2 linked regions of the Schizosaccharomyces pombe genome follow. Changing the gene in region 1 together with any one later gene gives a genetic interaction. Each region holds a gene or a part of one and is shown on either strand. Other genes may lie near its edges.

Evidence for each region. A genetic interaction does not mean that the proteins touch.
Region 2: mutations in rtc3 (region 1) and lsc2 together harm fitness more than expected from each alone (negative genetic interaction), as found in Schizosaccharomyces pombe (one large-scale study listed by BioGRID).

The regions. Positions count from the first base shown.
Region 1 is NC_003423.3:3,827,557-3,832,324, reverse strand, and holds rtc3 (SBDS family protein Rtc3), read right to left. Parts: upstream 2,298-4,768; 5' UTR 2,159-2,297; coding exon 1,838-2,158; 3' UTR 1,423-1,837; downstream 1-1,422. Other genes in the region: C2 domain protein Git1, read left to right, coding at 1-1,128; serine/threonine protein kinase (DDK family) Spo4, read right to left, coding at 3,476-3,603, 3,864-4,031, 4,154-4,768.
Region 2 is NC_003421.2:2,156,986-2,161,795, forward strand, and holds lsc2 (succinate-CoA ligase beta subunit Lsc2), read left to right. Parts: upstream 1-2,443; 5' UTR 2,444-2,613; coding exon 2,614-3,915; 3' UTR 3,916-4,310; downstream 4,311-4,810. Other genes in the region: lnp1 (protein lunapark), read right to left, coding at 1-60, 145-386, 445-465; transcription factor TFIIF complex alpha subunit Tfg1, read right to left, coding at 4,346-4,530, 4,580-4,810.

The DNA.
Region 1 (4,768 bases):
AAGCAGCTTAAAGAAAAAGCTAGTCATTTTAAAAGACATTCTGGGGACCCAAATTTTTTGAAGCTGTATAGGGAATCATTCACCCTAATCAATACCGTCAGTTTAGTGAGTGGTTGGTTAAAAATGCTGCATCAAAGGATTGATTATAAAATATTGACAGAGAAGGTAATGCACTTTAAAGATATGGAAGTACCATCTGCGACTGTTATAATTTCCATTAAGATGGCCCATCTTTTGGTAACCCCAAAGGCCCCATATTCATTCTCTGTTTTGCTCCAAGATCCTGAGTCGGAATTTTGTGTACATACTCGAGATGTTTATGACGAGCTAGTTCCCAATTGGAAAGAAACGTATCAGATGGAGATTACAAACGTAAAGCGTTTTAAATTAATTATATATCAGAGGAATATACACACTGGATTGGAGACTGTATATGGTCATGCAACACTAGAAGTTGATCCCGACAAACTTAAGCAAGGCCACGGAAAAGATGTTTGGCTTGATATCACTAATAAGGGACAAATTTTGATTGGGTTGCGTGTGCTCTTGAAGAGGGAAACACCAAATTATTACTGCTTTGCCCAAATGGAATACCTTACCGTTACTGAAGTAAAAATGCTAAATGTACTGATGATTTCTCTAAGTAAATTTATTCGAAATTCCTTAAGAAATAGTGGGTTAATGGATTTCGTGCGTTATCTTGATGGAGACGAAAATGATAACGCAGAGGCTGAGACTAAAGAAAAGATGGACGAGTTGCAGGCCCGGTGTGAAAAAGAGCAGCAGTCATTGTTGGCAGAGCTAGATGATTTTTTTTATTGGATTTATGTAAACTTGCTCCCGAAACCTCTTTTTTACTTGCTTTCGCGGCTTTGGTTTGGCTTGTTGGAGACATTTCGAGATATTTTAGTGCCTCCAGTCACAGATTCTACCCTAAGGAGAATTCCGTTGAATAAGCGTGAACTCAAAATGGTCTATTCGTGGTTACAATTGTTTTACGATTTTTTTCGGAATTTTCAAGATATTGCGCCATTTGATTTTTTGAATACCGATGAGTACAAAAGTGTGATGGCTATTAAAGACTATTATTTTGTAAAGTCTAAGGATGTCAAAAGAGTGAGTAGTTAGTTAACTACGGTAATGATGGAGACTTCTATTAATGTTTATTAATTTACTGAACGATACTTTTAATTTAATGAGCACAGTTGCTAATTTATTTTATATATATACAAATATGTATGTCATACGTCTATCATAAAGTCGCGTGTATTAGTTGCTAGGCTGAAATTATTTATTAAGCAGCTAGCTTATAACACTGCATTGTACACAAGAATAATGCTGAAAGCTAAAAATTAAGTTATGCTTACGATGATTACGCATTTTCTACAAAAATGAAACACACCATACAACCATAACAACAGGTTACAACAAAAGTCATAAATACATTTCTATGTAAACAAAAACAGATTTTTTTTAACGTAAAGCATACACATAACCGCACAGCCTTTAGAACGTCCAAACCATAAAAGCAAGTTATAATCATACATAAACATAACAAATGCCTTTAAGTCCCTTAGATAAGACACAAACATTAACCCTTGACTCAATGTCAGAGGCAATAGGAGATTAAAGTCGAATAATTACCAAAGGAACGGGAAAGGATTCCAAAAATTGCCATGAAGTTCAGGTAATGTTGGAATGCGGACATTGTGTACTTCGTCAGATTGCATCATTATATAACACAAATGGGAATACCTATAATAGATATACGTGGGCCATATGTTTTAACTCATTAAAGTCGGTGGTATAACTAGCCTCAACTAGTAGAATTAGTCATTTAGTTGACTTCTTTGTGCTTGCCATGTTCACGATGGGGAATGATTTTTCCGTCAGTCAAAATTTTAGTGACAACATCAACGTCCTTGCTAGTACCAAAGGTATTCTCAAGTTCTTGTTTGGAAGCAGTAATTAATTGACCTTCGTTACCTTTGTTGTTGCTAGTTGTAAAAACTTGAAAAGAGTCGACGATCTCAGTTAAGGGAACAGTCTTGTCCTTGCGCCATCTCATGACATCGGGACCGTTTGAGGCGATGATAATAAAGGTAGTATCCTCAGGTTGGTAACAAACACGGGTTTGGTTGGCCTTAGAGCTAGACATTTTGGAAGTATTGATAAATATATTAATAGACGGTTGGACAATGCAAAAAAATAAAATTTAATAGTCTTGTGAAAAGAGAGAACAAACTATAGAATTATCCAAATACAAACAAACAATTCTTATTTTTGTGTGAAACGATGCTCAACTAGGTTGGGAAAGGAAGTCCTTTTATAGTATTAGATTTGGGTGGAATAAATGCATTTTCCATCAATATGTCTAAACGTAAGTCTCTAACAGCGTCATAACATATTTACATCATTACTATGGGAAGCGAATAATGACATCAGGCGATATGTTTGTTTACCGTGTGTTAAATCCTTACAGTAAAATAATTAACGCACGATAGCACCTTTTGTCCTACACTACTTCATTACTCTCTCTGGTGCCCGACTTTTGTTTAGAGATGGTTTAGTGTGAAGTTAAGAAAAAAATGTTTCCCCTATATATTCAATCTCTTGGAAGATAAATAAAGGAGTAGTTTTTATTCAGTATTACACTTCATTTTTTCCTTTGATACGCTCACAAATCAATCTCTTTACACATGTAGCTTAAGAGGTGTCAATACCTACCTCTTTAATATGATAGTCAGTGTACATACTATTCTCATAACATTATCGCTAAAGAGTATACTGGAAAAACAAAACATCGTTATTTACAATAACACATTAGAAAGCCGGTGCGCAATCAACACTTAGTGACGTTGTAAACAATACGCAATCATCTGTTTAGTGATTTCACTCACGCAATGGCCCACGTCAGTAAGAGTTTGAAAGAGATGGATAATGGAGTACGTGACTGTTTGACTTTTTTCATGATCGAAACTTCTCGGCGATCTTTTGTTTACATTTTGGAAAATATCTTTTATCATTATGAAGAAAGGAAATTGGCTTATTTTGAATTCGGCTTTTTCTTAGTTTAAGGTTATTGTACTTTTAATTGCTGATTTGTTTCTTATGTACTTTATTCGACGACGTTGACACATCTGTTGGCTGATTCCACTATAATGACTTGACGCTACAGGCATTGTAACGATTAAAGTAGGTTAATGTTTGTCAGAGACATCTCATCCTATCTAAACATTTCGTATTTAGTCTGCTCATTTGGTTAACCTTTTACTGTACTTAGTATTTGACCGTTACACATTCGCTTTTCTCACGTGCTTTGGTTTTTGAGATGTTTGCAACGCACGCAACTTCAAATATCTTTATCTTTGACATTCATTATTATTAAGAGTTAATCGATACAATAAATAAAACTTTGAATGATATTATGGAATTCCGACGTGTGGAAATTTCTCCATCTTTGGCAGATACACGTCTACTGCTCTACAGTTGAAGGGAAATCACTTCGAAAAGGGTTTTCTGCCTCAAATCCTGACCGGGTAACCCCACATGCATTAAAGAATTCGTGCTGAAGAGCTGTTTTGGCCTTTACTCGTTTCGATGCTAGATAATTGTTAGCCATTCAATTTTTAATTAATTCCTGCCATGTTGTTTTATACAACTGGAGTTTGGAAATCAAGATACTAGTTTCAGAGTGGATAGCCCCAGGCTTCGTTAAAAAACCTAAAAAGCATCATAAAAGAAGACAATCCATGAATGAAACAATAAAAAAAAGGCCATTTCGGTTCGCGTTTTTTTTTGTCATTTAAGAATTTTCCTCCTAGTCCACTTCCTAGTATTTTGTTTTTGGGATTTGCACGTACGATGTAATTCTAATAACTTGTCCAACAAGTCAATGGCTAAAGCCACTTGATAATCTGAGCTTGTCTCTAAAATTAAATTCTCATCATTCTTCGTAATGCTAGCAATTAGGTCTAGCCAATTATGCTTTTGATCTAGTAGAGTCGGAATGTTATCTGACCAAATTTGTCCTGAGAGAAATACAAGTTAGCACCTCAAAAGTTGTCTCAAAAAGATTTGAAGCATTGGTTAGAAAACGATTTCTCTCTTCGTTTTTTCAACTTTTACGCTCAAGTGTTTAATAACTACTTACCATGTAATAATGCGCAGTTTGACATGCCATTTCTTCCAAAGATATGTGCTAATTCTACGATTGCATCGATATCATCTTCACAGCGGAAAAAAGGATATCGATGTGTTAAAAAACACAACAAAATGACTCCCACTGACCACACATCAATTGAGGATGTTTGATTTTGGCATCGAAACAATACCTCAGGCGCTCGAAATCCTCTTGTTCCGGCTCGGTCAGCACGTTTTGTAGGCCTTGGATCATGTAGCAAGTAACCCTCTGGAGGATCTGCTATCGTTTTCTCAAATGGAAAATAATCGTAATATTTTCCTTCTTGCTTCAGTTTTCTCAATTTATCGACACAGCAATTTTCTGTAGGTGCATCTGCCTCTTGCCATTGAGCTAATCCAAAGTCAAGTATGACTCCCCTTTGGGTGTAAGGATTCCAAGCAAAGTTACCTGGTTTGATATCTCGATGAATTATGCCCTTTGCATCTATATGTGCCAACCCTTTCAAGAGGTCTCTTAAGTACGCACCAATTTCTGGAAGAGAATATTTCATATAGAAGTCCCGGAACTCTGCATGTTGTATAAACGGTAGTACAATTAACACTTGATCTTGATGTCTTACAGCAG
Region 2 (4,810 bases), on another chromosome or scaffold:
CTAGCACGCGACAATCTTTTTTCACAAAACCACGCAATTGCCCATCGAAACATGTAAAGACTAAACAAACAAAAATTAGTGAGTGAATTCATGCCAAAGCAGTACAATGCCTAACTATAATGTACGGCAGATGTCAATGCATACCTAAAAACACCTAAGATGTATAGAGAGATTCGAAAAAGCTTAGAGAATAAAGGATGTTGGAACAGGATGGATGAGCGACTTGCCCAAACTGCCATACCAATCGTATAGATTGCCAAAGAGCACACAGTATACCGAAATAAAATCTTTTTCTTTTGACTTTGAATATTATCAATATTATACTGAGCCTCTTCCAGCTTCATCTCCAATCGATCCAACTCCCCACCAAAATCGAACTCCTTCTTCTAATCACATGTTAGTGACTTTGAGCCTCTAAAAACTGAGAAATCCTCCTTTACAAACCTTTTGAAAAAACCAGCCCATGTTAATAAATTAATAACGTCTAACCTTTCAACGACTCACTTGACAATGAATAATTTTTGCTTATGGTTAGGAGAGTCGCAAGTGCTCGTTTCTATGAGAAGCTCTATCCAAATCACGGTTTTGCATCGTGCTATGAAATAACGTTATTAAGTATTACATTATACTTGTTTGCGAATTTTATCGAGTTGTGCTATTTGAAACTATGAGCGCAATCGATTTGCAGCGCGGCCTTACCGAGGGAATCTTACAAAGTGACTTTTGGACGAAAGTTGTGATTTTGCTATTTTGGTCAGATGAAGTAGATTTTTAATTGATTTTGCTAGAAAAAAAAAACCATTGGCTTCACATTTTGAACAACGCTCAGCCTTGAATGATGGCGACTGCAATCATAATAGAGAAGTAAATCAACAAATCTATTCCTTCAAAGGGTACTAAAGCAAAAATGTGAATATTTTTAAATCAGGTATAGGCTTTCACTGCATATTCGCTTTTTTTTTTTTTGTTTCTCTTTTGTATTGCGACAACTTTAGTGAATCGCTTGAAGTAATATTCTGATACACTTATGGGTTTGCTTCTTTAAAATACGATTCTTTTTGCTTTTTGAAATATTTTAATATCACAATCTATTAAATTTTTTAAAATTTTGATCATTTATACGATTATGAACTTTCATGAATCGCACCAACCTTCGTATTCCCGTGTTAGAGATTCAGCGTTCATCAAGAAATTTTCAACTTTCTCTTCAAAACAGAATGGTTAGTATGCCTTTTTATAAAATTCTACACATCCTAGTCATTTACATGTTATTGTTTTAGTACATGCTTATGCAAACGAAAAGAATTGCTTAACCGACTTTTGTTTACCTTATTGCACCTAGCCGATAGCTTAATAATCTAACGAAGCTTAAAAATATTCGACATTAATAATTTCTTTGGTAAAAATTTTATTTGCATGTGTGCGAATGCGAAATTTCAGGATTATATACTAATACCAACATGCTGGAAATTCTTTAAACGCTATCGAAAAACTAACTTAATATAAAATTTTATATCCAAATAGGTCACTTAAAATCTTGCCAAATCGGAGCTTTCTGTCTTACAATAGTTTAAGATATTTTAATTCCATTCATTGAATTCGAAAATCTATTAACATTAGAAAAGAATCGCTTACATGCCATTCTTTTATATTAACAAATCCTTTACAAAAGCCAGTGTAAATAGATGATGATTCATTGAAACTGCTGAATACTTAACATTGCACACGACGCTATTACGCAACGCGTAAAACAAGATAATGTGTAAGCTACGAAGTTTGGTATCTGATTTAAGGATACGTAGAGCTACGGTGAGTTTTCCTTGTGATCTATTATATTACAATACACAGGTTGTATAAGTAGCAACTGAGTATAGGTATTGTATTAACTGGGTTATAATGTTACCTATCACTAATATAGCTCATAACTGAACTGAGGAACGAGATTCAGCAGTAGCTCTATTTATAGTATTCAGATAATATTGATCTTAATAGATTATCATTAAGATCAATCTCCATATCGTATCATACATGGTACGATATATAATTAGAACATGTGACATATAGTGATACACAACGTAGTGTATCATAGCGTAGTGTAGTATTGCTGACATAATGTATGATTTGTGTCGCTATCATAATTTGTTGGTAGATTACTCTCATTGTGTGCATATAGCAATTCATCAAATGCAAGTAGCTTTATTTGTGTTTGATAAAAAAAATGCCATTTGTAATTTCACGATTATGATGCTCATCTTTCATGCTGAATGTATTCATCGTGGATAGCGACTCTAGTACTCTTTGCTGCATATCGTTACTTAAAATACTGTATGTTAACAATATTTCTATCAACGAATAACAAATTTGCGTTATGCGATGCAATTTACTATGTTTGCTGTCCAGTCATGGCAGATATATCATATCGTTTACACGTACAATATCACTCACACCCAAGTATTGGTCTTTCTACAGCCTACTCTTTGTTGTAGTTTAGGAGGAGACTCTCTCTATATATATTTTTTAAAAGAACGTGTATCTGTATGCTACGCTTCTCATATATTTATCAAAGAATTGTTTAAGTTCATCGCTAGATTCTCTCAATCCAACTTTCCTACCATGTTAACCAGAAGTGTGCTGAGAAAAGCACCTCGCGCTTTTTCTCCCTTTTTACAAAAAAGAAATCTAGCTTTACATGAATATATTTCTCATGATATTCTCAGAAAGTTTGGTGTGGACGTTCCTCGTGGTGCTCCTGCTCGGAGCGGTGAAGAGGCAGAAAAGGTTGCTCGTGATCTTAAAGTCACAGATTTGGTAGTTAAAGCTCAAGTTCTAGCAGGCGGTCGTGGAAAGGGCCAATTTGACAGTGGCCTGCGTGGAGGAGTACGGCCTGTTTATGATGCTACAGAAGCGAGAATGTTTGCTGAACAAATGATCGGTCATAAGTTAATTACCAGACAAACTGGTCCTGCTGGAAAGATTTGCAATGTTGTCTATGTTTGCGAGAGGAAGTTTATTCGTAAAGAGTATTACTTCGCTATTTTAATGGATCGTGAGAACCAATGCCCCATGATAGTCGCCTCCGACCAAGGAGGTGTTGACATTGAGACTGTAGCAGCTGAAAATCCTAGCGCTATCATCAAACGATCTCTTCCCAACAGTCCAAATCTTGACCCTCATATCGCAGAAGAACTTGTTGACAAACTCGGCTTTTCCTCTTCTAGCAAGCCAAAGGCCGTTGACGCAATCGTCAAACTTTACAAAGTATTCAATGATTGTGATGCTACACAAGTAGAGATTAATCCCCTTGCTGAAACTACTGATCACAAGGTGTTGTGCATGGATGCTAAGCTGAACTTTGACGATAATGCCGAATTTCGTCATTCCAACATTTTCGTTTTGCGGGACATTTCTCAAGAAGATCCTGATGAGGCTAGGGCTGCCAAGGTTGGGTTGAACTTTATCAAATTGGACGGTAACATTGGTTGTTTGGTCAATGGTGCTGGTCTCGCAATGGCCACTATGGATATCATCAAACTTCATGGTGGTGAACCTGCTAATTTCCTTGATGTCGGTGGTAATGCTAATGCTGAAGCAATTCGTGAGGCATTCTCTCTCATCACTAATGATCCCAAAACTACTGCTATCTTTGTGAACATTTTTGGAGGTATTGTTCGATGCGACGTTATTGCCAAAGGTCTTATCTCGGTAGTATCAGCGTTGAATCTGAACATACCTATTATTTGCAGACTTCAAGGAACCAACCAAGGTGCTGCCAAAGAGGTAATCAACAACTCAGGTCTCCGTATTTTCTCATTTGATGATCTTGATGAAGCAGCTAAGAAGGCTTGTCGTTTCAGTCGCGTTGTCGAAATGGCACGTGAAGCCGATGTGAATGTTAGCTTCGAGCTACCTTTGTAGGCTGCTAATTTTAACGGCTTTAATGTATAATTGTTTACAACCCCCTTTTCTTATTATCATTACGACATACGGCATCATGGAATGATTTTATATAATGACTTGTGTATATAGAATTCTTAGCACAGCTGTTTACCATGTCTTAAAGAAATGGTTTGTTATTTTTCTTCTTTATATATTTTATACACATTTACAGTTATATAGTAGCATAGTTGAACATCGCGATCGTAAACTCGTGTATTTGATACTATACCGATCGACGAGTGCACTTCTTAACAATCCGACGTTTTCTATTTTAGGGGAAATGTTAAATTGTAATAGTTCTACTATGCTCTTAAATTAATGCAATTTTGAATTTTGTTTCCAAAAATAAAACAAATGTTTTCTTTAATGTTCATTAATATATAAACGTTATTACATAGATAATTCATAACTAGTTTTTTAAAACGAGTAGCTTGTTCTCAAATCGAGCAACCTTTCGAATGATCTTCTGTATTCCCAACCGATTTCTGTTGTCGGCTCTAATTTTGCGTTGGAACAGGTGAACTAGATCCTTAATAGAAATGGGACCAGCTCTTAAAGCCTTCATTACCTCTGCCTCCGTAATCAGATTAGAATCTAAAAGCACGTTAATAAATTTTCTGGTAAATGTAAAACTTTAGCATACCATCAATTGGAACATTTGTAGTATCTCCCACAACCTCCACTTGATCTCCTACACTCGTTTCTGTAGACCCCATGCTAGGGACCATACGGGGAAAGTCATTGGCAAACCGTGATAACTTTTCACTTGATAAGCGGAGAATTATATATCCAGGTTTGTTAATAAGTTGTTCTTGAGGCCTTATTTGAATAGAAGTATTAGGTGATTGTAGTTGCGATGAAGCTTTGACAGGAG